3 linked regions of the Ovis aries genome follow. The protein of the gene in region 3 purifies or fractionates together with the protein of the main gene of each other region. This does not show direct contact. Links are inferred from orthologs where the notes say so. Each region holds a gene or a part of one and is shown on either strand. Other genes may lie near its edges. The genes, in order: PRDX2, PRDX1 and PRDX5.

Region 1 (9,673 bases), on a different chromosome or scaffold from region 3:
CTATTCTCCGGCCTCTGCGCCCTCCGGAGGAGCCGGGGCCGCCGTCGGGACAGGGAGCTCGTACCCGACGGCCACCATCAGCTACCTCCCACACGCGCCGCCCTTCGCCGGCGGCCACCCGGCGCAGCTGGGCCTGGGCCGTGGCGCCTCCGCCTTCAAGGAGGAACCGCAGACCGTGCCTGAGGCGCGCAGCCGCGATGCCACGCCGCCGGTGTCCCCCATCAACATGGAAGACCAGGAGCGCATCAAAGTAGAGCGCAAGCGGCTGCGAAACCGGCTGGCGGCCACCAAGTGCCGGAAGCGGAAGCTGGAGCGCATCGCGCGCCTGGAGGACAAGGTGAAGACGCTCAAGGCCGAGAACGCGGGGCTGTCCAACACTGCCGGCCTCCTCCGGGAGCAGGTGGCCCAGCTCAAACAGAAGGTCATGACCCACGTCAGCAACGGCTGCCAACTGCTGCTTGGGGTCAAGGGACACGCCTTCTGAGCGCCCCCTTATCCCCCGTACGGACATTTCCCCAACCTGGACGGCTGGGCGCACGCCTCCCATGGGGCGAGGGGGCAGGCGGTGGGCACTGGCCCCGGGGCCTGAGGGCGCAACTAACCACACTGGACTCCTGCCCGCCCGCTCTGCGCCCAGTCCTTCCACCTCAACGTTTACAAGCCCCCCTTCCACTATTTTTTTTTATTTTTTTCCTGCAGAACTCAATTCATATTGAATATAATATATTTGTGTATTTAACAGGGAGGGGAGGAGGGGGCGATTGCGGCGGAGCTGGCCCCGCCGCCCGGTACTCTAGCCCTCGGGGATACTGGGGAGGGGACCCCCGCCCCCTGCCCTCCCCCCTCTGCACCGTACTGTGGAGAAGAAACACGCAGTCGGTTTCTAAAGGAGTTATTTTAAGCTGTGTTTATGTGTGAGTTCGTTTATTGTCCTTACTTTTTATTGAATCTATTTAAGTAAAAAAAAAAGTTCTTTATTAATTTCTGTTGTCTTTTTTTCAAGCCGGCCAGGGGGGAGGGAGGGGAGTACTGGGCAGCCCCCACCCCACGGCTGTTTGTGGCTTGCTCCTGTAACTGTGTCAACCTCGCCAGTTCTGTTCAGGCATCTTGCACCCTCAGCCGGGTGTCCAACCCTTCTGGCGTCTCCTGATCTCCCGGATTGGAAGGTCCAGGGTGTGTACACAGTCCAGCCACCCTTCCCCCCCCCCCCGCCCCCAGGGCCAGGGGACAGGATGCCTTGGGCAAAACGCTCAGCGCGCAGGCGCGGCACCTCCCAGCCGCGCGCGCCGGGGCTTTCCCCGCTGACGCTGCGGAAGCGCTGTCCAAACATGGGCTGATTCTGCCCAGTGACGCGACGGCGGTCTCCGGGCAGATTCCGGGAATCCCCTCCCCCGCTCTGCCGGGCAGGGCTGCGGCGCCGGGAAGGGGGCCGGGATTTTCCCAGGCTGGCGGCTACCGAGGCCCGGAAAGCCCCAGGCCTGGGTCCAGAGCGTCCGCGGTGGGCGGGCCGCGCTCCAGAGCCCCAAGAGCTACCCCAGAGTTTCCCCCATCGGGCTGGCCCCTGGGTCCTGCCCAGCCCACGCCCGCTGCATTTGACCTGACCCGGGCGGGGGGATGCAGTTGCCTGAGCGTCGTTGCCACCGCGATCCCCTCCCCACCCCCGCCAGGAAGGGCGGTGCCCGCCTGCCAGTTTCCCCTCCCGGGTGCCAGGCCGGGAGCGGGGCGACTGCCAGGTCTGGTCCTGCCGGGGCGGCTGCTCGGGCCGCCGGGCGCCGCCGCCGCCCTCGCACGGGGCTGCCTCCCCCGCAGCTAGGACGGGTGGGAGGGCGGCTGGCGAGCCCCGATGGGGATCTGGCAGGCTTCGGAGCTGGAAGCCCCCAGAACAGCAGAGAAAAACACAGACCGAGAAACCAGGCCACAGGACCTAGGTGCCGTAGAACAAACGCTCCATTAATTTGTTTATAAAATACTGAACGACCCGGTCCTGGAGTCACTAGCTAGACCAGGGCAGACAGACTATAAACAAGCAAACATGATTTGGAGATGGTGGTTAGTGCCAGGAAGAGAGAAAAAAAGAAAGAAAAAAAACTGGTCACAATGGTCGTGATGGAGCAGGGGAGGTGAGCTGCTTTGGAGAATGAATTGGGAACACGGAACTTTAATGAGGCGATTTTTCAGCTGACCCCTGAGAAAATCCTCAGTAACAGAGTTCTGCCAGAGAGAATAGTATATGCAACGTTTCTGTGGCCAGAACAAGATCAGCCTGTTAAAGAACACCAAGAAGCCACTATGCTTCAGTGGAGTGAACACACCGAGGTGGAGATGAGGTCAGGGAAGGCCATGTAGGGCCTTGTGGAGGGGTATAGATAAAATTCCAAGGCCAAGGACTTCCCTCGTGATCCAGTGGCCAAGAATCCGCCTGCTGGTGCAGGGGACTTGAGTTTGATTCCTGGTTTGGGAAGATTCCACATGCTGCGAAGCAACTAAGCCAGTGTGGTATGCCACAACTGCTGAAGCCAGCGCTCCAGGGCCCCTGCTTCAGAGAAGCCCCTGCCCTGCAGCTAGAGCAGCCCCCACTCACTGTGACTAGAGAAAGCCAACACTCAGCAATGAAGGCTTAGTGCAGTCAAAATAATTTAAAAATTTAAAAACAATAGAATAAAAACTCCAAGGCTGAGATGAGTGACTTTGGAGGGCATTAGGCGGGAGTACTACTAATGGTGGTGGTGGTTTAGTCACTAAGCTGTGTCTGACTCTTAAGTGACCCCATGGACTGTAGCCTGCCAGGTTCCTCTGACCATGGGATTTTCCAGGCCAAGAATACTGGAGTGGGTTGCCATTTCCTCCTCCAGGGGATCCTCTTGACTCAGGGATTGAACCTGCAACTCCTGCATTGTAGGCAAATTCTTTACTAAGCCACAAGGGAAGCTTAATTTAATAATGAGTCTATGGATTAAATGAGCATGTCAGTCCTGTGGAAGGAAATGAGGGCTAAGAATGGCAACACCACTTGCCTGAAAAAGTACAGCATCAAACTTTGCACCTTAGAACACTATGTTGCTCCTAATACCTGCCTTCTTGTCTAACCCTCACCCTTCCATTTCAGGGGAAAGACATAGACTTTCCAACCTCTGGTGGTACAGAACTTGCAGCAGGAACTATGCATGTACCTCATCCCCCTCTTGGTTCTACTTTCAGGATTGGGTCCCCACCTTCTTCCAGTCCCTGGAACCTGGTCCTATTAACCATTAATAGAATCCTGATCTTCACATACTTATCTCTTTTAACATGCATTGTCTTCATTCCCATTGGTCGTCTTTATTCCCGTTTTGCTATTGAAAAGACCCAGGGAAGACCACAGCTCCTAAGCGGCTTTTTAACCCAGGCTGGCTGCTGTTAAGGTGTGGGCGCTGCCCTGCCTGGCCAGGTTTCAGGTGATAAGGCAGCCTGTGACTTGCTCCCTGCAAGGGGCAACAGTGCCAACCACCTTCCCTTCAGGCCACAGAGAAAGAAAGCAGTGAGCATGAGGCAAGACTGCCACCTTGTGGCGGAGATTGGTAACCAGAATGTCAGTTTCCCAGGCCTCAGCCTGGAGAAAGCAGCCGCGGGTGGTACCACACCAGGACAAACCACACAAACACAAGACTTAGATCTGTCCCTAATACTTTATTAGTCACCTATAGGCCTGTTCCCAGTTATGTGGGCTCCAAGGAGGGGGTCACCATTCACCAGCTCGCAGCTGGGAGCTTGAGAAGGACTTGGCCTAACCCTCTGTGGTCATGGACTGTGGAGTCTGAAGGAGCAGGTCTGACATTTCCTGGGTCAGTACAGAACACACAGGTAGGGGCACAGAGGCAGGCCAAGAGCCCAGGCTTGCCACCATCTGCCAGCCTAGTTGTGTTTGGAGAAATATTCCTTGCTGTCGTCCACATTGGGCTTGATTGTGTCACTGCCTGGTGTCCAGCCGGCAGGGCAGACTGTGGAAAAACAGGGATGCACAGGAGAGGCTTGAGTGCATGTTCAAGGGAGAACGGTAGTGAGGGGACAAAGAGAGGCGCAAGAGCATGAGTTGCAGAAGAAAAGGCCTAGAGCCAAGTGCTCCAGGCCTAAGACCATGCCACATGATGAAAGAAGCCCTCCATGCTCAGCTGCAGGACTGTCTGACATTTTTCGGGGGCTGTACCTCAAGGCATGTGGGATCTTAGTTTTCCGACCAGGGATTTGAACCTGTGTCCTTTATAGTGGAAGTTTCAACCACTGGACTGCCAGGGAAGTCCCTATTTTATTTTTTGGTCATGCCATGTGCCTTATGGAATCTTAGTTCCCTGATCAGGGACTGAACTTGGGCCCTTAGCAGTAAAAGTTTGGAAACCACTGGACAGCCAGCAAATTCCCTGGCTGATATTTTAATTTCTTTCCGACTCCTTTAATTATATCTTTCTCTCTTAGCCCCCGTCCCAGTGGACTTCGAGGGCCAGTGGCCTTCACAGGAGAAGATAACTCTGATCCAATTAACATTCAAGCCTGCCTGCCTTGGTACAGGCCTTCTCAAATATCTTCTATGGAGTTCTGTTACCTCCCCAGTTGTCTGCCCTTATATTGGGGTAGTATCTCCCCAACCGGACTAGAAATTTCTTGCAGACCTTGAGCTGAATCTTCTCTGGGGCCCTCACATCCACTCCACACAAGCAATACAGCAGACCATGAACATATGTGTGCATGACCCAGGGGCTGCGTATGAACCCACATGTGGACACATGTGAATGGGTGTGTCTGCTCACCTTCCCCATGCTCATCTGTGTACTGGAAAGCCTGGACCAGCCTCAGAGCCTCATCCACGGAGCGTCCCACAGGCAAGTCATTGACGGTGACCTGGCGAAGGACACCCTTGCCGTCGATGACAAAGAGGCCCCTGAGATATCGGAGTTCACAGTGAGGAGCCGCGGCGCCCACTGTCAGGACCCAGGGAGGGAGCAGACTCCCTGCTAGCCACAGGGTGAGAGTGGTCCCCTCACCCTAAGGATGGGGGCTTCCCGAGGTTCCCACAGTACCTGTAGGCGACCCCCTCATCTTCCTTCAGCACGCCATAATCACTGGACAACTTTCTGGTTACATCAGCCAGCAGGGGGATGTTCAGTGGGCCCAAGCCTCCCTCCTTCCGGGGAGTGTTGATCCTGGGGGCGGGGGAGAGAAGGTTGGGACCTCAGGATGGCTGGTGCAGCAGGGTCCTTACCCTGTGATAAGGGCCTGGGTGCGATGAGGGCTGGAGAAGGGGGTGCTGGAGGTGAGAGATAAGCAGCCTGAAAGCAAGTCTCAGGGAGCCCCACCCACCCCACCCTGAAGTGGCTGCAGAGGCTGCTTCCCACAACTGGGAAGACTAAGTTAATACTCTAGCAAAGTAACTTCACGTGTGCAGCAGCAATGGGAGGCAGAGAACCTGCCCTGAAGTCCTCTTTCGAACTCTTAAACTGGAGTTTCCATCTGGCTCAAATAGTTCTTGGGAGGGAGGCTGCATTGCCTTAACTGAGATAAAACATTTATCAACGCCCTATGCCACAGAAACTGCTTTCCAAAGGCTAATTACTGCCATCATCCTGAAGGACTTGGGAATCACCCTCTCCATTATTTTCTTGCTGGGAAAGGCATACGCAGAGGTTGCCCACTGACCAGGAGAACACACAGCTGGGGCCCTAGAGAGGTGTAGGTTTAGTTGTACCCTCCCTCCTTGCTGGTGATCTCCATTCCTACCAAGCCAGGTGGGTGAACTGAGAGTCGACGGAGACGCCCAGCACCTCGCAGTTCAGCTTGTGGAACTCCTCAGCACGGTCGCTGAAAGCTACGATCTCCGTGGGGCACACAAAGGTAAAGTCCAGCGGGTAGAAAAAGAGGACCACGTACTTCCCTGGGGAAAGGGGTGGGAAGAGACGAGAAGTTGGGGCTCGGGCCCTCTAAGGCTTGTGCCCCGCCCCCACCGCGGCCCCCATCTAGGCCCTCACCTTTGTAGTCGGAAAGCTTCACCTCCTTGAAGGCGCCATCCACCACCGCGGTGGCCTGGAATTCCGGGGCGGGCTTTCCGAGGTGCGCCTTGCCGCAGGCCATGACTGAAAGCTGAGAGGCCCCCCCCGCCCCACCCACGCCGGGTCAGTGTGCTCTGGACGACCCTTTGTCTTCACTTCCCAAGGTCACGCTGCATATCCGGCCGAGTTACCGAGTCAGAGCGACGGAGACACTTGCGGCCCTGCCCCGCACCCTGTCCGGGACCAGGTCGGCGCGGCCGGGAGACTTTAGGAGACCCGCCCACCTGGACAGCTAGGGCGGCCGGGCTGCGGCCGCCCGGTCCCCAGCTAGCGTGTCGGCCGTAGCGCGATCGCGCAAGCCCACCCGCCCAGAAGATGTCGCGAGTTGGGGACGGGAAGCATGGGGATGCGGCCGGTACTCCAAGGTTCTGGCCTCGGTTTCCCGCCCCCCACCCCCACTCCCACTCCCGCAAGGACAAAGGCAGCCGCTACGGCGGGCGGAAAACAAAGGCGGCCGGCGCTGAGGTCTGGATTGGGCCTGAGCTGCTCCAAGGGGGCCCATCCCGCAGCGCGATGCACTCTCGGTGTCCATACCTGCGTGGGTAAGGGCGAGACGCACGGACTCTCGGATGCACGGACTTGATTTCGCAGGGCCAAGCCAGCCCAGACCAGCGGCGCCTTTTATAGTCGGCCCGAACCAAGACGCCTAGGGCACGGGGAGGTGGGCGGACTTACGGAGCGGTCGGGTCCACTGCAGGAAGCGCAGGGGAGGGGAAGCAGAGCCGGCCGCGACCACGCGCCCGCGAGTGGCGGGGGGAGACGCGCAGTCTCCGGCCCAGACCACTACACCAGACTGCGGGGGGTGATGCGCGGGGCCTTCTCTTTGGAGCGCGCCGGGGTCGGTTGGAGTCCGGCATGGCCCGGAGCCGGGCGGCACTACTACTGCCGTCTCTGATGCTCCTGCTGCTGGTGACCCCTTCCCAGGTCTCCCCCGACTACCAGTACTTCGGCCAGCAGGGCGAAGGGGACACCTGGGAGCAGCTGCGGCTGCAGCATCAGGAGAAAGGTAACTGCAGGCCCCGGATATGACAGTGCAGAAAGGGGCCTCATTTGCCCCCACCTCACCATCTGGCTGCAGATAGACCCTCCTCCAGGGACTTCAAATTTCTGCCTTGCTGAGCCCTGGGGGTACCTCTTGGGCTGGTTACTTTGGCTTAGTTTTCTCATATGTAAGTTAAGATAATGTCTTTAAGCAGTATACACAGGGAGAGGGGAGTGGACAGGCAATAAATACCAATGCAGACGTGTCCATAAATTCATGGATAAGTGCTGAGAAAGGCAGAGATAGAGAAGGCAGGGCGCATGGAAACTTCCAAAGTCAGAGAAGGCCTCCTGGCTGAAGATAGGTAACCAGTGCAGCCAGAATAACAAGCAAAAAGCCCCAAATGCGAAAATGTAAGGGGAGGAGCGTGCCAGTGAGTCAGAACAGCAAGTGCCAAGATGGAAAGAGAAATGGAAAGAGGCCAGTGTTGTCTGGCAGAGGCTTCATGAGGGCATGAGGTGTCAGGACTTTCTGAGCCCCAGACTTGAGCTAAGACCTGTCAGCTAGGGCCATAGGGAAGAGTCTGTAAAAGAACAGTTGTAAAGGGCGTCTGATAAATGCAGCTGCTTTAAAAGTGGTCAAGATAATTGTTTTTGTATTCCCATGCATAGCCAGGGGCTTTAAGTACCTTCATTATGCTAATTATGTCCTTTAATTTGCCACCTGGTAATGCTGCTGGTCAGGTGACACTGGACTTGTTGGACCGGCTTGTGATCACAGCCTTGTAGAGAGGAGTCACCTTCAGACGGTGGCCACCAAGTGTGTTGTACCACACCCCCAACTGGACAGGCAGGCACAGATGGGACGTGTCATTTTGCAGCCCATCTGGGCCGCTCACCAGATGTGTGAGCTTGGAAAGGTGGGTTGCTCTTCTTAGGTCTCAGTTTCCCCACCTGGGACTAATGGGAAGATTAGAGATCATCTGTGTCGGGCTAGGTGGCAGAGAAACACAGCTGAGCGAATATGCTGTTGTTCAGTCGCTCAGTCGTGTCCGACTCCTTGCGAACCCATGGGCGGCAGTTCGCCAGGCTTCCCTGTTCTTCACCATCTCCCGGAGTCTGGAACTGTTATTTGTTAGTATCTTTCTCCTCCGCCCTCCTTAGAATGCGGGGATATAGGTTCCCCCTCTACCTGGCTCTCCATCCCTAGAATTGGAAGACTCTGTCCTTGGCCCTTGGGGAAAGTGGCGCTGTTTCTGCGACCTGGGCAAGCAGGAGCGCAGCCGCGAGGTGGTGGGCACGTCGCCGGGTCCGGTGTTCATGGACCGCGAGAATCTGGTGCAGGTGCGACCCTGCCGGCAACGGGACTGTTCATCCTGCGAGCCGAACGACTGCGACTGGAGGCTCTGAGCCCGGGTGAGCAGCGGGCGTGGAGGAGGCGCCCCTCCCCCGCCCCCCCACACGCACCCTCGGCGGGCTGGCTTGTCGGGGCCCTGAGTCCCCAGGATGGGAGGAGAGAGAGGAAGGGCTGAACGTGGGAGCGCGGGCACGAGGCGGGCATCGGGAAAAGGAACACTAAATCTGGGGCTTGAGCAGAGCGTGGGAAAGGAGAGCTGAGTTAGGAGATGTGAGACCCGCTGATATCCGAGGAGAAAGGAAGATAGACGGTGGGGGTGGGGAAGGGGAAAACGGAGACGGAGGAACAGAAACCCACAAGCTGAGGGCGTGAGCCCTGATGAAAGCAGAAAATAGAAAGAGATGCATTCGTTGGAACAAATCTAGGAGGCGTGCTCCTCGCTAAGACGTGAGAAAAAGGGAAAAGAGCAGAGAAGGGGGCGAGGGCTTGAACCCTGAGTTTGGCAGGGGGAGGGAGCCTGCTTGATGGACGAAGACTCTAAGCCGGATTCTGGAGAAGTCTGGGATCTCTGTTCAGGGGTAGAGGAGGATTAGCCCAAAGAGAGGATACGAAGCGGGCGGGGGTAGGGGGGAGGCGCTTCCGGTGAGCTACGAGGGAGTTGGGGGTTCCAAGTCCGAAGGTTTGAGTCCAGTGGGAGCCAGAATTCCTACTATAGGGGGCTTAGACTGTGTGGCGCTCCAGGGACCTCGAACACAGGAGGGCCTGAAACCAGATGAAGGCCGGGAACTCGGTGATGCGGACACCGAATTCTCGGAGTCTAGTGGTATTTGACCTTCTGGGCTTTGACGGGGCTTCCCACGTGGCTCAGACGGTAAAGAATCCTCCTGCAATGCGGGAGACTTGGGTTCGATCCCTGGGTTGGGAAGATCCCCTGGAGGAGGGCGTGGCAACCCACTCCAGTATTCTTGCCTGGAGAATCCCATGGACAGAAGAGCCTACAGTCCAAAAGGTCGCAAAGAGTCGGATACGACTGAGCGACTAAGTACAGCACAAGCTTTGATGAGGTCGAGTCCTTCAAGTCTCCCCCTCTATTTCCCCTTGTCTGCCCACTAGCCGCAGCGGGAGGAGCTCCAGAGACACCGGGGCGGAGCTTGGAAAGCGACACCGCCCACCCGGTTCCCCAAGCGCGGAGCTCGCTTGTCAGCCTCGGAAACTACAATTCCCAGGAAGCCGCACGGCAGCGGCGTCGGCGAAGGCT
Region 2 (9,930 bases), on a different chromosome or scaffold from region 3:
TTAAATTTTAAAATCTTTAATTCTTACATGCGTTCCCTAACATGAACCCCCCTCCCACCTCCCTCCCCATAACATCTCTCTGGGTCTTAAAACTAAACTCTTAGTTGGAATACGGTGGTCTCATTACAAGCAACAACTCCACTGGGCCAAAGTGGGGAGTTTTCAGAAGCTACAGTCTTGTAAACTGAGAGCCTGGGAGCAAGCAGTTCAGGACTTTATCAAAAACACTTCAAGGAGACTATTTCAGATGAGAAGGACCAGAGCAGTAAGAAAGACCTACACTCTAACGAATGCTAGACAAAAACCATATAATTGAATCTTCTCAGTAATGTTTAGATTTTACAAGGACAGACTCACAAAAACATCTTTAATCCTGAAACTTCTCGAAGGACCTTGAGATTTCATCTCAAACCCTCTTGCCCTAATCCCTCCTCAAAAAATTTTTTATATTGAACATTTATATAATTTGGTATTTGGTGACTATAATTCTTATAGATACAAAAAATATTCTGCACAACAGAATGAATTTTTAAAAGACAAAAATGTTAACACCTATGAGATCCTCCTACACTTTAACAAGTTGAATCTGCAGCAGTAAGTAATTCTAAATGAGCAGGGTAGAAGCTGGGAATACACAGCTGGAACAAAAAGCCTTTATATTCTCCTCCCCAAGCTTTTCTATTACCTCACCCCTACAACCCACTATAATCCAGAGACTGAAATTTCTTAAAGAGACATAATAACCCTTTTCCTATCTGGTAGACTTTGTTCCCACCGTCTTTCCCACCCTATCACTCCACTGTCCTGTCACCAGGCAAACTGGCTTACCTTCCCCATGTTTGTCAGTAAACTGGAAGGCCTGAACTAGTCTCAGTGTCTCATCCACAGAGCGGCCAACAGGAAGATCGTTTATGGTGATCTGTCGAAGGATACCTTTATCATCAATAATAAAAAGGCCCCTGCAAGAAAATATTAAAGGTCAGAGGGAGAGATAGTACAGTTTTAGAAATTGCTGTTAGAGTAAATCAGCAGAAACTGGCCTTCCCCTTAGGTCCTGCATAAAGAATGAAACCATTATGCCATCCACCTTAAACTTACACAGTGATGTATATCAATTATTCTCAACAAAACAGGAAGAAAAAAACAAAATAAAAAACGTCTCCACAGATCACAGCTCTACTTATAAAAGATCTTCAGCCAATCATCCAGTTTCCTGGTGCATATATACCTGAATGAGATGCCTTCATCGGCCTTTAAGACCCCATAGTCCTGAGCAATGGTGCGCTTGGGGTCTGATATCAAGGGAATGTTCATGGGTCCCAGTCCTCCTTGTTTCTTGGGTGTGTTGATCCTACAGTAAAAAAAAACACACATACGATCACACTCATTCAAATTCTTCTGTAACAAAAGCATTAACTGTGTCTATCCTACCCCAACGTTGCTAATCTAACTCCCCAGAAAACTTTAAATTCTTTCCATCAGTAAATGGTGGTTTAGTGGCTAAGTTGTGTCCAACTCTTGCGACCCCATGGACTGTAGCCTGCCAGGCTCCTCTGTCCATGGGATTTTCCAGGCAAGAATACTGGAGTGAATTGCCATTTCCTTCTCCAGGGGATCTTTCCAACCCAGGAATTGAACCTGGGTTTCCTGCATTGCAGGCAAATTCTTACCGACTAAGCTATGAGGGAAGTCCAGCGGTAAGTGGCTGAGGCCAATTAAAATCACCAGGGTACACTCAGCTGCAACCCAAGCTGCTTTTTCTCTGCTGCTAAGTTATAAGAGCAACAAGAGGAAGTCAGAGCATTTGCACTCCTTCCATGAGGAGCCAGAAGTCAATACTTGAAAAAGTCTATTGCCAAAGCCTCCTGGTTCCAGTTGCTGCTTAAAAGCTCCTATGCCTGGACTTCCCTGGTAGTCAGGGATTAAGACTTCTACCACGTTTCCACTGCATGAGGCACAGGTTTGACCCCTGGTTGGAGAATTAAGATCCCACATGCCACACAGCACAGCTACAAAAAAAAAAAAATCCATAATTTATAATTTTCTAAAATAAGCCCATGCCAAATGGACCAAGAGATTTACCATGCCAGGTGACAGAAGTGAGAATCCACAGAAGCACCAATTACTTGGCAGTTCAGTTTCTTAAATTCTTCTGCCCTATCACTGAAAGCAATGATCTCCGTGGGGCACACAAAGGTGAAGTCAAGAGGGTAAAAGAAGAACACAACATATTTTCCTGGGAAAAAAAAAAAAAAGCCTGTTACCCTTTGAAATAGACTTCCTTGTTTTGCAGAGAATGTAAACCTAAAGACATTTTCCTATGGGAAAAAAGAAGCCTTTTTTTTTTTTTTTCAACTGATGGCAGACAACTGTTAAAACACCAAGATGCGCAACACAGATGATGCCTAGCAGCTACTGTAGAACCTCGGCCATAAGAATTTTCCTTCTTCCATGTTAGCTGCCAACTACAGATAAGCACTGTTCAGTCTAATTTTGATCTTCTCTGAGTAGTTAAAATTAACACAAACACCAAGTTCTTCTGTGAAGAAAAGAAAAAACAAGGATGCAATCATCTACTGCCAATACTCATATAATCAGTGCCCAGAAAGAGCTGAATTGCTGGATTCTCTGCCACAAGGCAACAAGACCAACAAGAGAAAGTCAGAGCCTTTGCTATTCTTCCACAGTGAACCACAGTTAACGTGATAGGTAAGGTCTAAGTGATACCTAAATCACCACAAACATGGTTCAAATAAGTCTGATAGGATGCACAAGCAAAGAAAAAATTTCTAAGACAAAGGTCCCAAAATTCTCCTGGAAGGTAATAGGATTTCTAGTTGGAATTTTATTAAAGTCATTCTGATTACCAACTGAAGTAGATCTTCAACCTGTCAAGCAGTCTCTCACCAACAATTCCAAATATTCACATTTCCAGATACCAGCAATGTTTCAAAATCAAAATATGCTGGTCCTTCTGACACACTTCAACCTTCCCCCAGGGTTTTGCTAACAAGCTTCAGCAGGTCAAGCCCAGGAGGGCACAGAGCAACTCTTCCTAAACCTCATGCCTTTACCCTTAGGCCAGGGTCACCTCCCTATGGTACTACTTACTTTGTTTGCCAGGAGGAGCTTTCCTCCACAGGGCCCCACTTATCTGCTCTCATTCCAACCAGTATGTGGAATTTGTTAAGAAATCTAGTCATAGGTTTTACCCAAAAGCTAACTCTATGAACTGCTGTATCACCAAGAAAGGTATACTTGACGCCTGAGTCCTTAAGTTTAAATTCTAGGAAATCCGTATTTTGAACTGTCCCAGAATACCTTGCTATTCTAGGACAGTAAAGTAAAAAGATCCTCATTAGTATTTGCCTGGTTTCTACATGAAACTACTTAACAGAAAGGAGAGTTGTTCCAATTGTGACATCAATTTTTCTCTGGGGGTAAAATGTCAAGGGAACATGCCTAAACCCTCAATCGTGACACACATTTTGTAAACTGAACAGTTTCACAGCTCCAAAGACTTGAGCTCTGAGACTTTAAATTGTCCAAGGCTTTAAACTGTAACAAGATAATGAGTGTATCTCCAGTTAAATAACTGAGGAGCAATATTGGGAAGATAATTGAGATATTATGTCCAGATATAATGAAGTAGGCACATGCCTTCTCCAGAAGTAGTTTGGACTTGGAGATCTACCCTATGTTCACTGATGATAATCACCACTTCAATAGGAAGGCAACAGCCTCTTATCCTAAAGACAAATGAGATGTAAAAATCATTTTACACTCAAACATGACAAGAGATAGAGTGAACAAGCCCTCCCTAGACTGTACTATAATTTCATATTAATGAACTTAATTACTCTTACCTTTGTAGTCAGCTAGGCTGATATCCTTGAACTGACCATCTGGCATAACAGCTGTTGCTTTGAACTGGGGGGCACGGTGCCCAATTTTGGCATTTCCTGAAGACATATTGCTATCAGCTGGAAAAGATGAGAAAGTGAATTAGAAACAAGTCTTACTTTTCTAGATAACAACCTTCATCTATTTAAGAGACTAAGCTGTAGAAATTGTCCACTGGTCTTGAATATACACATAAACTTTTATAACAGTGAGAAGCATGAACTGAGCTTTCCAACTTTTCAAACAAAAATATTACACATCTCTGAATCTCACCTCTGTTTTCATTTTTGAGGGGAGGGACTGTTCATTTAAGATCTTTAAATTTTTATTGGAATATAGTTGATTTACAATGTTGTTTTCATTTTAAAATGGGAATTTCTTTATAAACTGAACTCTTCCTGTTCCTGAACCATCATCAGTACAACTGCATTTTCCTGTGTACGTTTATTATACAGGTGTACAAAGAGAAGAGGGTGGAAACTCTCAAACCTGGGCCCAAAGGTGCAATGCCATAAACACTAAGCACCCAAGCCTCAGAAGCTGCCATGATGCCCTTTCCCTGGACTGCACCTCCATCTGCCTTCAGAACGTGGGAAGCACACGTTCTTTCTCTGGGTAGATTTCCCAAGACACACACCCTAAAGCCAATCCAATTTTTTAAGAGGCCAAGTCCAAGATTATGGCATCTCTCAATTTCAAAATTCTAAGTGTTGTGTTTAAAGCCCAGAAGTCCTTTCAAAAGTGAGTTTACCGAGGGACCAAGATCCTGGAAAAATGGTTAGAACAAGAGTCAATTTATTGCCAAAAAGCAACGTAACACTGGATTCACCCTGGTCAAGAACATGGTAAGATTTAACCCAGTAAGTCATCAGTTTGATAATCCCAAGAAGCTAACTTTTCAAGTCCCAAAATTCTTGGTTCATAATACTACAGCCAAAAGAAAGACTGAACATCGACTGTGACAATTTTTTTTTAACCGCTTAACACCTATAACAGCAAACCAAAAAACCCAACCAAACACAGGAGGTGACCCTAATATACATGTCCTCCTTATTCAAACCTTTTCCAAGGGATCCCTACGTCCACTAAAGCACGACCAAGAGCGGGAGGCGGGGAAGCTGGAGTTCCACCGGGTGTGTCCCCTTCAGGAAATCGCCCCTTGAAGGTCCCTGGTGAAAGCCACTCCGCCAAAACCCACTTCTTGTACCCTCCCTGCCACTCCCATCATCACCCCCACCCTAGCGTCTCAGAAAGCTCCAGAAGAGTGCTCAGTCTTCACCGAGGACATTTAGAATCACTACAAACCCCATTCTGCAGGTGGAAAAATAAAGACGGAGAACGGAATCTTAGTAACTTTCCACACCTGAAGACCGGGAACAACCTCTCCTTCTACTACACGATCGACTGATAGCTCTCAGTTCCTGATCAGTTTGCAGATTCACTCGAGAAGTTTCCCTTACCCGCGCGTCAGGAGACTCCATCACCACCAACCCGCCCAGACGCCACGCCAAGCCAATCAGCGCTTTCTGCTTGTATTGCTGGGGGTAGGGGAGACTCAAGCTGCCGTTAGCCTCGGGTTTCAACCTCGTCCCCGCACCCAAAGGAGCCCCACACGAGGGTCGCTTCGCCTGGCCGCCTTCTTTGTCCGAGGAGCCCAGCTGAGTTCAGCGGGCCCCGAGGAGAAGACGGGAAAGGTGACGGGCGGGGCGGGGGCGCGGCCCTCATACTCACCAGTTCCAGAGAAAGAGGACCGATACCAGCGAGGAAGAAGACGCGCGAGGCGTGCGCGGGGCGCTGCCTTTATAGCCTGTAAGGCTCTCGCGAGAGTCAGGGCGGGCCGGGGGTGCAGGCGGGGGGAATGGGGAGGGGGATATGGCCAGCACACCGCCGGGACCCGACGTGCCCTGCCAGGATGACTCAGCGCTTTCCCTTGCTGGGGGCGGGCTCCCGCCCTTAGAGTACCAATCCCCCTCTCGCCGCCGACGGTTGAGGCCTGAGTTTGAGGCGCTCTTTCAGTCCTTTCAGAACACGAACGCCTCCTCCTTGTTCGTAAGGCCCAAACCAGGGTACGGGCACTCGCTGCTGCTCACGGAAGACTACGTCTAACCAAACCCTGAGGAGAACGATCTCTTCAAGTATTTCTGAAATATTCCGCCCCTGTTTCCGCAGCCTCTGCTCTAGTACTGATCCTCCGTGTGTGTGTGTGTGTTAGTCGCTCAGTCGTGCCCGACTCTTTGCGACCCCATGGACTGCAATCCACCAGGTTCCTCTGTCCATGAGATTTTCCAGCAAGGATACTGGAGTGGGTTGCCATTTCCTTCTCCAAGGACTGATCCTCCGTAACCCTCATTATTTAGACAGCCTCTCTTATTGTTCTTCCTTATAACAGGGTTGTTGCATTCCAGCTCCCCTGCATGAGTTCCTTTCCCATTCACTCCACTGCGGCTGCAGGAAATCTTTCTGAAATTTGATCTCATTCATTCACCGCTCTGATTTGTGGTTTATAGAAACTGGGGCTCTGTCTTCCTGGGTTAAAACTCTTGTTATTTTATGTGTGGCCTTAAGGCAAGAGTCTTAATCAATCAGCCTTAACTTTTCTCGCCTGTAGAATGGGAATACTATGAATTCTTTGTTGAGATCATCTCTAGCTTATTTAGCAATTCTCACACATGAAAGTGTTAGCTGTTGTTTTTAGTGTAACTCATCTTGCTCCTCTGTCGTAACTCCCAGGACAGAGAGTAACTGTTTGAAACCTCAGGCTTTTGTTCGAACGTGCAGAACCTGTTCTCTCCTATTTGGCCTGCAGAAAATGTGTCAGCTGAGGCATTACCTTCTGGTGAAACTCTTCTGACTTTCACTGATCCTCAGAATTCATTCCATCCTTTCTGCTCAAACAGTAGCCTGCTTGGTCACAACCATCTCTGCGCCCTCAAGTCACAACATAGCATCGGCTATAAAATAAAGAGTATTGAATACATATGTTAGGTAGTTAGAATAGGAAACAGGAGTCCAGAATGGCTGTGGCTAAAAGGCAAGGAAGGGAAAAGCCCGCGAAAATAGAACAAAGGAAGGTTGAGGACTGGAATGAGGACCTCAGGTGGAACAAACAGCACTCCAGGCTAGCCAAGTTTACATAGGGCAGGCCCAGGGGGAGGAAAAAACATAACACATAGTACTGTGTTCCCCTTTCTGCCCATAGCCCCCACTACCTTATCTCCTTTGGAGCTTATAGCAGAATAAAAAGTAGGGAAGTGCTGTGTCATTCTGATTGAGCATCTCAAAAATTTTTTCGCATTTATCATCCTACCGCACAACAGTAGTGATTTTTTTTTCCTTTTTTTCCCTCTCTGCCTGAGATGAACAGTTATTTGGCCATTACTCATGTCCTTCTTTTTTTCTTTTTAATTGGTCATAGCCATCCATTACTGTGCTCAATCAAATTTTATTGTTTTTTTAATATCTATAATATTTTCCTTTATTTATTTATTTTTAGTTGTGCTGGGTCTTCGGCACTGTACCTGCTTTCTTTACTTGCTCTGGGAAAGGGGGTTGCTATGCTTTGTTGTGGTGAATGGGATTTTTATTGAGTTGGTTTCTCATGTTACAAGCACAGACTCTAGGCATGCAGAGTTCAGTAGTTACTGGCCCAATGGGCTCAGTTGTGTTTTAGCATGTGTGATCTTCCTAGACCAGGGAAGATCCGTAATTGAATCCATGTCGCCTGCATTGGCAGGCAGACTCTTATTTACTGCACCACCAAGGAAGCCCCTCATTTACTTCTTGAGGGTTCAGGGGAAAAAAGACATTCAGAGTTTAGTGTTTTTGTGTAATCAGTCACTCAGTCCTGTCCCACTCTTTTGCGACCCCATGGACTGTAGCCCACCAGGCTCTTCTGTCCATTCTTTTGTCCAAAGGAATTTCTCAAGCAAGAATACTAGAGTGGGTTGCCGTTTCCTTCTCCGGGGGATCTTCCTGACTTAGGGATCAAACTTGCGAATCCTGCATTAGCCTCAGAGCTTAATAGTGGATGGTTATTGCTGTTAAACCAACAACACACAGTCCTACTTCACCCAGAATAAAATTGCCATTTATTGTATCTACCATGTGTCAGGCCCTGGGCTGGGCACTTGAGTTTGTCTTATTTAAGAACCAAGAGTTATCCTGGCCCAGGGAAATATTAATATCCAGTTCTTGTGGGAACATAAAAAAAAGAAATAGGACAGTTCTAACAAGAGAAGAAATCTATTGAATGCATGTGTAGAGTCTCTTTCCACAAAGAACTGTAAACATTTTGGAAATGGGGGCAGGGGAACTTTATCCTTCTATGGGACCTCTGTCCTCCCTGTTCTCCAGTAGTTCTGGGAAGGATTTTATGTTTTATTTATATTTGTAGTACCAGAACCCATCATGCTAACTGGCCTAGGAGATGTGCTTAATTAATTTTGGAAGGTACTACAGATTTTTGAGATGTGGAGTTGACTTACTTGAACTACATTTTAAGATGATGATTCTAGCACCTGTGTGATAGATAAACATAGTGACTAGGAGACAAGAGACCAACTGGGAGGCTACTGCAATAGTCCAGATAAGAGAAGTCTCACAGGGACTTCCCTACTGATCCAGTGGCTAAGAATCTGCCTTTCAATGCAGGGGGGCACAGGTTCGATCCCTGGTTGGGGAACTAGGATCCCACAGCAATCGTAACTAGTAATGAGGGGCAACACTGAGCAACTCAGTGCTTGAGCCATGTCAAAGATCCCAAGTGCTGCCTCTAAGACAGAATGCAGCCATATCTAACTAACTAACTAACTAAATATTTTTAAAAAGAAAAAGAGAAGTCTCAGAACTGTAATGACATTGGCAGCAGGAAGGGAAGAAGAAGAGAAAGTATGTTTATACAGGCTTTTGGATTAATTGCATTTAGGGTGAGAGGAAAGAGGAGGTTCAGTCTGATTCCTTGGTTTTATAGGAAACGTAGGAGGAGACAATTTTAGGTTAAAAATAGCAATGAACATTTGTTGAGTACTACCTGTTTTATAGATGAGATGCCTGATGCCCAAAGAATTTAAGTAGATAATCTAAAGTCACAGCTGAGTGGTGCTGGAGCCAGAGGCCATCCAGGCCAGCAGAGCCATCATGTTGCACGTGAGGCAGATGTACCATTTACATAGACCATAATGTGGACGATGCCCCCTGGAGATGTGCCTTACACTGGTTTGGCCAGGCTGACTCTGGAGTCTACCTCATTACTGACTCCTCTCTTAAAGGAGACAATAATCAGTTTGGTTTGAGGCAAACAGCACTGAGATGCTCACAAGACATCCAGGTAGAGGTATCCAGAGTTGCCTTTTGGAGATGAACATTTGAAAATCAACAGCACAGAGGTTTAGTTACATACTTATTTTTTTTCTATTTATAGGAGGCCTATTCTCTACTAGGTAACAGACATGCAAAGATATTCAAAATACCATCTATTGAGGTGTTTTGAAGTACCACTAAAGAGTTAGCTAGGGCTTCCTCCCTGGTGGTTCAGTGGTTGAGAATCTGCCTGCCAATGCAGAGGACGCAGGTTCCATCCCAGGTCTGGGAAGATCCTACATGCTGCAGGGCAACTAAGCCAATGCACCACAGCTACTGAGCTGCACGCTGCTGCTAAGTCACTTCAGTCGTGTACAGCCTGTGAAATGAAACTACTGAAGTCCACACACCCTAGAGCCCATGCTTTGCAACTAAAAAAGCCACCGCAATGAGAAGCCTGCACACCACAACTAGAAAGTATCCCCCACTTGCTGCAACTGGAAAAAGCCCTTGTGCAGCAACAAAGACCAAGGACAACCAAAAATAAATAAATGAATAAAAATAACTTTTAAAAAAAGTTAGCTAAGGAGAAGGAGTTAGCTAAGATCCAACCAGTCCATCCTAAAAGAAATCAGTCCTGATTATTCATTGGAAGGACCGATGCTGAAGCTAAAATTCCAATACTTTGGCCACCTGATGTGAAGAACTGACCCATTGGAAAAAACCCTG
Region 3 (9,586 bases):
CAGTCCTGCACCTGGAGCAGCGCACAAGACACCCCCAGCCCCCCGGCCAGCAGCCAGGGCCACTGAGACCGAAGGCCCACCCCCACCCACACCCAACTCCCATCATGCTGTCCAAAGGGGTCACCTTGGCCCTAGAAGACCCCTCACCCTGCCATAAAGGCCCAGCCAGTGGCAACGGGATCCTGGAGGGGACGCTTCCTTTCGGAGGCCTCACTGGACCTCAGCCTGTCCAGACATGAGGTCAGGAGTGGAGGCACAGAGGCAGCTGAGTGGCATCGATGGAGACTGGGCTTGCCCTGATGGTGAGGAGCTGCCAGGGTGGCCTGAGGTCTGCTGGGAAGAGGAATAGGGTGCCGGCCCGCAGGGGCCCCACTTGGCCAGCAGACTCCAGGCTCCGAGAGCCCAGCTGCCAGCTCAGACACTCACTTCTCTCTCGGGCTTGTGGAGCCTCCAGACCACTCACAGGGTGCACACAGTGACGTCTACATACACCTCTGTGTCCTCATCTGTACAACAAGAGAATTGAGAGATGGTGTCTGGAAAGAAAGGGACTTCCTGCCATCCAAGCCAGGACAGTGCTGTGACCTAGGGCTTGGTGGGGACAGGTCACAAGAGCTTAGGAAGCTGGAGGGGTGGTCAGCCCTCTGTCCTGCCCCAACCCAGGACTCCTGAGCGGTGACAGGTTGTGGAAGAGAACTGAGGAGACAAAGGTCAGTGGGTGAGCTGGCTCAGGCAGGCTGAGCAGCTGGGACCCCTGCAGGGAGGCTGGCCCCCTCCCGAGGACCCTCCTCTCCCACCCCTTAGACCTCCAGCCAAGCACCCCCGGGGACTCACCCTTCCAACACCCCCAGGTCGCCTGTACCAGCCCCCACCTCCTGGACACTCAAGTCATCAATCCTGCCGCACACTGGCCTCTCCTCGGCCTCCCGCCTGCCCCTCTCCAGCTCTACCTGCACAGAGGAGTCCAGGTATGACTCTGACCTGTCACTGCCCTACAGACATCCTTCGCTGGTCTGAAGGGCCCGCCGGGTGAAATGTAAGCAGCTTACAGGGCTTCAAAAGCCTCCCTGCCCTCACTCAGATGCTCCACCACCTTGGAGCTCTTCTGCCCTCTGTAACTATGGCCACATTGTTCCCGCCGCCAGGCGCACCAGCCCCACTGCCTCAAGGACTGTGTCCTTCAAGATGCCTTTCCTTGATCTTTCCTGAGATCTCTCAGCCTGCTTTAGCCAGCTCTGAGCTGCCCTGAGCCTCCCCAGATGGCCTGGAAGGGCAGGGAGAACCCCTTGGAGCCTGGTGCTGACGGGGCCCAGGGCGGGGCTGTAAAGCTCCCCGAGGCCAACTGACTGGCTCAAATCCAAACTCCTCTTACGTGGCTGGAGGAGCCAGGTCCACTTGTTTAACCTCTCTGTGGTATAACAGTTCTCACCGCCCAGGATCGTGTGAGGATTTTTAGCATACCTCAAGCATCTGCCTCCCTTAGACTATGAGCTCTTTAACACAGCTGGTGCCTAATAAGCCTGCTTCCAAGCACAGGGCTTTCTGAGGACAAGAGGCAGAGGCCCAAGGGCAAGGCCTGCAGACAGAATGCTCCTCAGCCTCAAGCCCTGCTGGCCTCCCTGACTCTCGGCCCCTAACAACATACAACACACTCACTGCAGGGCCAGCCTTACTAGTGTCTCCTCTCTTCCACAGCTTACCTAGACTTTGCCCACGGGACACTGCACCACCCATCACCTCCCACCCCTGGGGCTGAACCAGCACTGGCTCTGCCAATGGAGCCCTTTTTGCCCATCAGATGGTCCCAAGGTGCCATGGGCCCTTCTTGGGATGTGGGTGCTCCCAAAAGGGGGGGATGAGGGGGGGATGCCTTGGGCCAGTTTCTACCCTGAGGTCTGCAGTCAAAATGAGATCGGCTATCATCCAGATATCAAATGCAAAAGGTCACGGGCCCTAGCCAAGCTCGGGTCTATCCAGAGCCTTTCCCGAGGAGCTCCCTCAGCAGGACCGCTCCTTCTCTCACTCTTCAGACCGCTGGCCCTTTCTCAGCTTGTAGATGGATGCTTCATGAAACCTCCCTCAAGAGGCCTTCTCTGACTGTCTAAGTTAAATCAGAGTCCTTTATGAGTCCCCACTTCAGCCTCTGCCCACTACCCTAACAGCTGGACTGTCAGTGAGGCCTGGCTTGGGCAAAGCAGCAATTCAAAACCAAGAAGACAGATATAAACCAGAAGTGTTTATTGCAGAAATTTGGCGAAGATTTCAGCTGAGTGATCACAGGCTAGGCTGGGGCCCTCTGCCCAGGACTGGGCAGGTGAAACAGGAAAGTGCCGGAGGAGGATATCTGGGCTCCAAGCCTCAGAGCTGTGAGAGGATGTTGGGAGCCAGGGTGCAGGTGAGGCCTGTGCCATCTGGCTCCACATTCAGGGATTTGACGATGCCATCCTCTATCACCATGGAGAACCTGCCAGAAAGAAGGGCCGGGCCACGTCAAACAGCCTGGGCCTGGAGGCTGGCAATGGAGTCAGGCGGGGTAGCAAGCAAACCCCCAAGGGGGACCCTCCCACTTTTACCTCTTCAGTCGGTGATTCCCAAAGAGAAACACCAGTGAATCATCAAGTAACAAATCTGTCTCCTGAAAGGAGAAGCAGAGGAAAGGTCAGGAACCCCCAGAACAGGCCAGGTCCCCTGGCTGCTCCCCAGGATGGAAGCTGGGAGTGCACTCACCTTCCCAAAGGTCCCATTGGGGTCTGCCAGGAGCCGAACCTGAGGAGAAAGCAAAAGTCACAAAAAAACCTCCACCTTGGCCCCAGATCCCCTGCAGGATCCACAGCTCACCTTGCCCTCTGCCTTGTGGGCACGTCCCCACTCTTCAGTCACAAAGACATCATTAACGGTCAGACATGCCACCACCTGGATCCCCTTGGCCTTCAGAGCGCCAGCCTGCTCCACAAACCCTGGCAGGTGGGTCTGGGGAGGAGAACCAGAGAGTCAGCAGGTAGGTAACAGCCTCTGCTCCTCAGCCTACCCTTCGTCTCCAAGCCCTCCTCATTTCCCAATGCCAACAGCTTTGATCAGACAATGAAAATTGGGTAAGCCACAGTTCCTTTTTGCTTCCCTGGTGGCTCAACAGTAAAGAATCCACCTGCCAACACAGGAAACGCAGGTTCGATCCTTCCATCAGGAAGATCTCCTGGAGAAGGAAACGGCAACCCGCCCCAGTCTTCTTGTCTGGGAAATCTCATGGACAGAGGAGCCTAGCGCGCTACAGTCCATGGGGTTGCAGAGAGTTGGCACGACTTAGTGACTAAACAGCAACAACTAAGCTCGGATCCAAATTAAAGTGTTCCTTGCTCAACACTATGAACGTCCCGTGAGCAGGACCGTCTCATTTACCCGGGTCCCAAGTCCCTTCCACAGCCCCGTCACCCAGCAGGATCGATGAGAGCTGTTGCACCACCTTTTCTCCTACATCCCTACACTCAGTCACCACTTATTTCTTAAAAGCCTGATAAGCTTCTTTAACTGTCGTATCACCTACGTCCCATTGGTACAAGCGGTCCCAGGACCATGCGGGACTCGTGAACAACATAAACATGCACATAAGATCCCAACTGCGCAGGCCTCACCTTGGAACAGCCAGGGGTAAAGGCACCAGGGAGCCCAAACAGCACTCCCTTCTTGCCTTTGAACAGCTCCGCCAGGTTCACCTTGTTCCCGGGCTCCTTTTCAAATACCTCCACCGACGGAATGGCATCTCCCACCTAGAAGGAAGGACTCCGAGGTAAGGGCAGGGGCAGGGCCGCAACAGCGGGGTGGGGGTGCCCACTGAGGGCTGAGCAGCCCTGCCTGGTCCTGTGGAGCCAGGCTTTACACCCGGCAGGGAAGTCCACCGCTGTCAGAGATTCCAGTGGCCCCTTTCCTGCGACCGCCTGGTTACCCCACACCCTCCAAGTTTCAAGGTGGCCCTATTCCTCTTAAGGGCCAATCTGTGACCACAGGAAAAAGGAGAGACGGCCTCTCTGGGTGTCACAAGAGGTTGAGTAAACAAGGTGAGTTACAGGAAAGAAGTGGGACAGAGGGGCAGGAGGAGGCCCTGACAACACGGAGGGAGAGGACGCCGGGCACAGCTGAGCGTCCCACACGCAAGACGAGACAATGGGAGGGCAGCAGAAGGTGGGACAGCTGGGGAGCATGAGTACAGAAGGACTCCCTTCAAGGGAGAGGGATCAGCGTTCCTGGGAGTGTGTGCAGGCTTCACGGGCCAGAAAAAGTAGACAAAGGGGGCAAAGGCAGGAGTGAGGGAGAGCCTGGAGAAACACAGCAGTGGGTTGTAGGATGAAGTAGGAGGAGGGGCTCTCAGAAGACTGTGAAGCAAGGGGGAGCCCCAAGGAGCTGGGGATGGTTCCAGAAGATAAAAGGGCTGAAAAACTCAGCAGAAGGGTGCAGTGGGAGAGACAAAACAGGGTTCTAAGAGACGTCGTCACCTGTTTCAAAGGATGGGGTGAGAGTAATACCCAGTAACTTGACAAAAGCAGCGGAAGGGCGTGTAGACGAGCACGTATAGGGGTTAAAAAGGGTAAAGGAGATGGTTCCATAGGTGGGGGAAGCCATGGCACGCCACCTGAAAATGGTGGAGACTGGTCACAGGTGTCCCAGAGTGGGTGCGGCAGGGAGACGAGGGGAAGGCCCCAAAGCCTTGAGAACTGTAGAGGAGATGGGGCACGAGACCCCTAAAACTGGCGATATCGTTGCAGCTACCGGGGTCTTGTTGAAGGAAACAAGAGGAACGGACGGCGGGAGGAGCCTCTATGGCAGAGGGAAGGTAAGAAAGACGGTGACTCTCCCAGAGACAAGCGGGACGAAGGGGCGTGCAGAAATGAGTGGAGTCGGGGAGGCAAAGAAGTCAGGCCTGGCTGGGCCCGCGGTCACCTTGATAGGGGCCATGGCTACAGCAGCGCTTCTGAAACCTCGGACCCCGCCAAAAGTCCAGTCGAGGATTCCTTCCAGGCACCCTCGGGCTCCCGCCGCTGTCGCTGACGCACCCTCAACGATGGTCGCCCGGGACACCACCGAGCCCGGTCTGCAGCCCAGGACTCGTAACCACCGCAGACTCATGCCGAGTCATAGAGTCAGAACAGCCCCGCCCACACCTCGAGGCAGAGGTAGTACGCTGGGCGGAACCGGAGCGTTAAGACGCAATCCTGCGAAAGACAGGGCAAAAAGTAGAACGGCGCACGTTACCTGGCCACCGCGCAGGCGTGGACGGCGCACGAATGGGCGGGGCTTCCGACCAGCTCCGTATTAGGGGTGGATCACCGGCGCGCGTGCGAGCGGGCGGGGCTTATTTGCATACAAGGCCGGGTTGCCGCTATTTCGATTGTGTAATTTACGGATTGGGGCAGTATTTCCATTTCTTAACCGCAAGCAAGTGGCAGGAGACGGTGGTGTTAGGCGCCTGTGTAAATAAGTAAAGCGTACTTATTTTGCATTACACGAAGGCCTTTGCATTATAGCAGTGTTACGTATGATTTACATTGTACATGATTTGTAGCATTAGCTCAGCCAAAACCACTGGGCCTGCGCCTTTGCAATCTCCTGCCGAGACGCTTCCAGGAGCTGCGCAGGATACCAACCAACCTCGGCTCCGGCGAGGACCGGAAGTCCGGAAGGTTCGCCGTTTCCGCTCCTCCCAGGCGTCCAATAGGATAGAGCGGGACAGCCCCGGAAATGATGTAGAGAGAGACCATTGTCCTTCCGGCTCCGGCTGTGCGGGAGCGCGCAGCGCAGACATGAGGCTGCTCACCCACAACTTGCTGAGCTCGCACGTGCGAGGGGTGGGGCCCCGTGGCTTCCCCCTGCGTCTCCAGGTACTGGCCGTCTCGGGCACCTCTCCCGGGGGCGAGGGTAGGAGAATCAGGATCCGGTCCTTGCCTAACTAAATCTCTGCGCCCCTCAGGCCACGGAAGTCCGTATCAACCCTGTGGAGTTCAACCCCGACTTCATAGTGCGTATGATACCGAAAGTGGAGTGGGCGGCGCTTCTGGAGGCTGCGGACAACGTGAGGACCCACCTCCCCAGCCCCGTGCACACCGTGGGTGGCGGGGGGTTGGGGGGATAGTCTTAACTGCAGCCCTTTACACCAGCCATCAAGGCGAGCGTCTGGGAAGCCGAGATGATTTAAGCCTCTTGCCCACAGCTGCATCTCATCGAGGTGCCTAAAGAGCCGATTCAGGGATATGAGCATAACGAGGAATTTCTGAGAAAGATGCACCACGTGCTGCTGGAGGTGAGAACCGACCCGTCGCTTGCTTCCTGGCTGTACACCCACACCTGACAACTGCCAGTGCTCAGTTCTGGTCCCCTCTTCCCGCAGGTGGAGGTCTTGGAGGGCACCCTGCAATGCCCAGAGTCGGGACGTGTGTTCCCCATCAGCCGTGGGATCCCCAATATGCTGCTGAGTGATGAGGAAACTGAGACTTAAACTATGCCAGGCGCCGGTTTTTCCCTCTGGTTGTGTGAATCTTTGTTTACACGTTATCTTGTTTGTTAGTCCTATCCTATGTGTCCCTAACCCTTGACCCAGTGACACGCCACACACAGTGTTTCTGAGCTCGATAGTATATATATTTTTTTCTCATTAAAGGTTCAAAACCAAAAGCGGTTTCTCTTTGCAGCAAATATACATTAAAATAGAGTCTCTGTACAGCCACGGGCTCTGGGCCCTGGCTTGCCCCATATCCCTGCGCCTCCCTGGCCAAACCCAAAAATAAATATAGTGTTATTGCTCTGCAGGGCATAGAGGCAGTGCTCTCCCTGCCCCCTGAGGAGACTGGGTGGAGCTGATGGGGGGCCCTGGCCACCCCAGGGGTCCAGGGGCTGGAGCCTGCTTGGAGTTATTGCTTCAAGGTGGGGGGGGGCAGTAACGCCCAATGCAAATGATGAGAGAGGAGCAAAGGGAGCAGGAGCCTTTGCTCTCCAAATCCCCCTCCGATCTGGAGAGGAAGTCGGATTAAGCAGCAGCAAAAGCATCACCCACTGGGAGACTGTGGCCTCCACTCCCTTCCCTCCCTGAGATCAGGCTTCTGCCCACCGACCCCCCCAACACACACATGTCCCCTGCAGCCCCCTATGGCTTCCGCAAGGCCCCCTACACCCTGGGGGCACGTTATGGCTTGCGAGGGGCAGCACTGTGCCCAGAGCCTGGGCGCACATGTTCCCAGCTTCTAACACCCCCAAGGAGGGGGGAGGGGAGGGTGTAGGGCCTGCTCCCAGGGGCTGATGGTGTTGCCCTGGCCCTGCCAGCAGGCTGTGGCACTGCCCAGACCCCAGCTCTGCCCTCTTGGGGCTGACCCCTTGCTGGGCGGGTCCTGCCAGCACCCCCACCCATGCCCACCCCTTGCCTCAGTCCATCATGGCCTCGAGCATTTCCAAAAACAGCTTGTGCATGGGCACCTTGCCCTCCAGCTTCACCCCATAGAAATGGGCCAGCACTTTGCCCGCTGTCTGGCGAAGGAGCGGTAGTGTGAGCAGCAGCCTGCCTGCCCGCCTCCGCTCAGCGCCCCCTCCAGGGCCTGCCCGGCCAGCTTCGTACTCCAGCAGGGCCTCGTGTAGAGCTTCTCGTAGCTGCTCCACCGCTTCAGCATCTTCAATGTGCACAGAGTCTGCAAGGCAAGATGACAGAACTGTTGACATGGGCCATCTCCAGAAGGGGCAGAGCCACATCAACCTGGGCACTGCCAGGTAGGGGCCCAAGAAGGAGCCACACCAAGATTTGCTGAAGCACTACTCACTGCTCCTGCCCATGAGCCAGGGCCCACTCCTCCTTCCTCAGCTATGGCCACCTCTGGTCCCCTTCCCCTTCCCTCCCACTAAGTGGATCACCTGTCTACAAAACCACAGGCACTAGGGCTCAGAATTCAGCATGCATTTCCTGGACCTGTCCTCACCTGGCTTCGTGACTTTCAGCAAGTCACTGTTCTTGCCTAAGCCTGTATTCCCTGTCTGCAAAGTGGGAGCGTGCCACCATCACAGTTAAAAAACCAAAGCGCCTTATAGAGAAACCCATCAGTACAAGCCCCAAACTCACCTGAATTGGCGAGGGCCAGGGCCTTCAGCAGAACATACTCCTCGCGCTCCAACCGCAGGGCCTGCAGTCGCCGCACCAGCTGCAGCAGGGCAGCCCCCAGTTCCCCCAGGCCAGCGGCTCGCGCCCCCTCTTCATCCAGGACCAGGTCCTCGGCAAAGGCCAGCTCATCCTGCAGTGGCAGGGAACGCTGGGCCACACCCAACACCAGTACTTCCATCCACACGCTCTGCAGTACTGACATCTGGTCAGATAGTGACAGTGACGAGAAGCCTGGAGGGCAGGGGGACCAGAGCCGGCTAAGCAACTGCACCAGAGCCAGGCAGGGCCCAGCCTACCCAGGGAAACCCCACGTTGCCTGGGCCCTTTACCTGGGATGCTCTTGGCCCAGCTGATGGTGACCACGATCTCTCGGTCAAAGAGGTCACAGAGGGTGGCCACAGCTGGGAGGTGTCCGTCAGGGCCCGCTGGGTCGGGCATGGCATACAGCTTCTCAGGTTCAACCACCAGCAGATGGGACACCAGTGCGTTCACTGGGGCTGTAGCGACAGTTGGAAGAGGCACGCATTCATCCCTCTGCCAGCCCTTCAGGGTCAAACATCTTCCCAGAGTCACTCCCCCTGTGGCCTTCCTCAATAGCCACTGGCCAGCCTGGCTCGGACACCTCTCTCCAGGAAACGCCGCACTATCTCCTAGGGAAAGCGTCTGTCTGTGGACAGGTTCTGAACGTTAGAAAACCTTCCATGCTCCCAGCTGTACTGCTCGAGGTCTGACACACAAAAGGGTATTTTCGTAAATACTTCTTGAGGGAATTGTGTGAACAAACAGATGAAGGGACGACATGGGTCCCAGCACCCAAGATAACTACTGTCCCGTGTGAATGACGTCAGACAGACTGCCCACCCTGACCCCAGAGCCCCAAGGACCCCACTGCGCTCTCACCTGTCTTCCGAGGGCCTCCAGCTACTGCCAGAGGTCCAGCAGGGAAGGGGCCTGGGAAGGGCAGTGGGTCCACCTCTGGCCGCCGCTTGTACTTCTGTCGCCCACCGCGGACACGGTCCAGACGTACCCCTTGAATTGCAGGACAGCGCTGTGTCCACGGGGCCTGCTCTCCAGAGCCCGCCTGCCCAGCCCGGTCAGCCAGGACTTCCCAGGCCTCACCCGGCCCGACCCCATGCACCCAGCTCCCCAGCCTCATCCAGGCCCCCGCCAGCGCTCACCCTCCTTGAGCATGCCCACCCGCAGGCACTTGGTGAAGCGACAGGCCTGGCAGGCCTTGCGTCTCCGCTTGGTGATCTCGCATTCGTTGGAGGCCGGACAGCTGTACTCGATGCTGCCTGCCAGGGAAGAGGCAGGGCTCCAGTGGCGGCCTCCTGGGGCCCAGAGGGGGCCTAGCCAGTGGGGAGAGCCCTGCCATTCCAGGCAAACACAGGTCTGAGGAGAGCGGGAGTGCTGTGAATGGGGCAGGGAAATCGGGGCACTGAGGGGAAAGGCGGCTGG

Evidence for each region.
Region 1: the proteins of PRDX5 (region 3) and PRDX2 fractionate together in Homo sapiens (co-fractionation; 3 studies listed by BioGRID). This does not show direct contact. The link is inferred for Ovis aries from reciprocal best matches to the Homo sapiens genes PRDX5 and PRDX2.
Region 2: the proteins of PRDX5 (region 3) and PRDX1 fractionate together in Homo sapiens (co-fractionation; 3 studies listed by BioGRID). This does not show direct contact. The link is inferred for Ovis aries from reciprocal best matches to the Homo sapiens genes PRDX5 and PRDX1.

What each region holds. Positions count from the first base shown.
Region 1 is NC_056058.1:11,029,405-11,039,077, reverse strand, and holds PRDX2 (peroxiredoxin-2), read right to left. Parts: upstream 6,100-9,673; coding exon 5,997-6,099; intron 5,903-5,996; coding exon 5,749-5,902; intron 5,175-5,748; coding exon 5,052-5,174; intron 4,913-5,051; coding exon 4,782-4,912; intron 3,978-4,781; coding exon 3,892-3,977; downstream 1-3,891. Other genes in the region: transcription factor JunB, read left to right, coding at 1-484; THSD8 (thrombospondin type-1 domain-containing protein 8), read left to right, coding at 6,933-7,083, 8,269-8,468.
Region 2 is NC_056054.1:20,140,261-20,150,190, forward strand, and holds the start of PRDX1 (peroxiredoxin-1), read right to left. Parts: upstream 5,679-9,930; 5' UTR 5,385-5,678; coding exon 5,267-5,384; intron 3,984-5,266; coding exon 3,867-3,983; intron 2,237-3,866; coding exon 2,083-2,236; intron 1,352-2,082; coding exon 1,229-1,351; intron 960-1,228; coding exon 829-959; intron 1-828. UniProt on the Homo sapiens protein: Thiol-specific peroxidase that catalyzes the reduction of hydrogen peroxide and organic hydroperoxides to water and alcohols, respectively.
Region 3 is NC_056074.1:39,059,282-39,068,867, reverse strand, and holds PRDX5 (peroxiredoxin-5, mitochondrial), read right to left. Parts: upstream 5,199-9,586; 5' UTR 5,119-5,198; coding exon 4,933-5,118; intron 3,765-4,932; coding exon 3,630-3,764; intron 2,971-3,629; coding exon 2,839-2,970; intron 2,767-2,838; coding exon 2,728-2,766; intron 2,636-2,727; coding exon 2,574-2,635; intron 2,465-2,573; coding exon 2,359-2,464; 3' UTR 2,224-2,358; downstream 1-2,223. Other genes in the region: TRMT112 (multifunctional methyltransferase subunit TRM112-like protein), read left to right, coding at 5,793-5,870, 5,960-6,061, 6,200-6,289, 6,377-6,484; ESRRA (steroid hormone receptor ERR1), read right to left, coding at 7,405-7,664, 8,090-8,359, 8,458-8,625, 9,029-9,157, 9,307-9,423. UniProt on the Homo sapiens protein: Thiol-specific peroxidase that catalyzes the reduction of hydrogen peroxide and organic hydroperoxides to water and alcohols, respectively.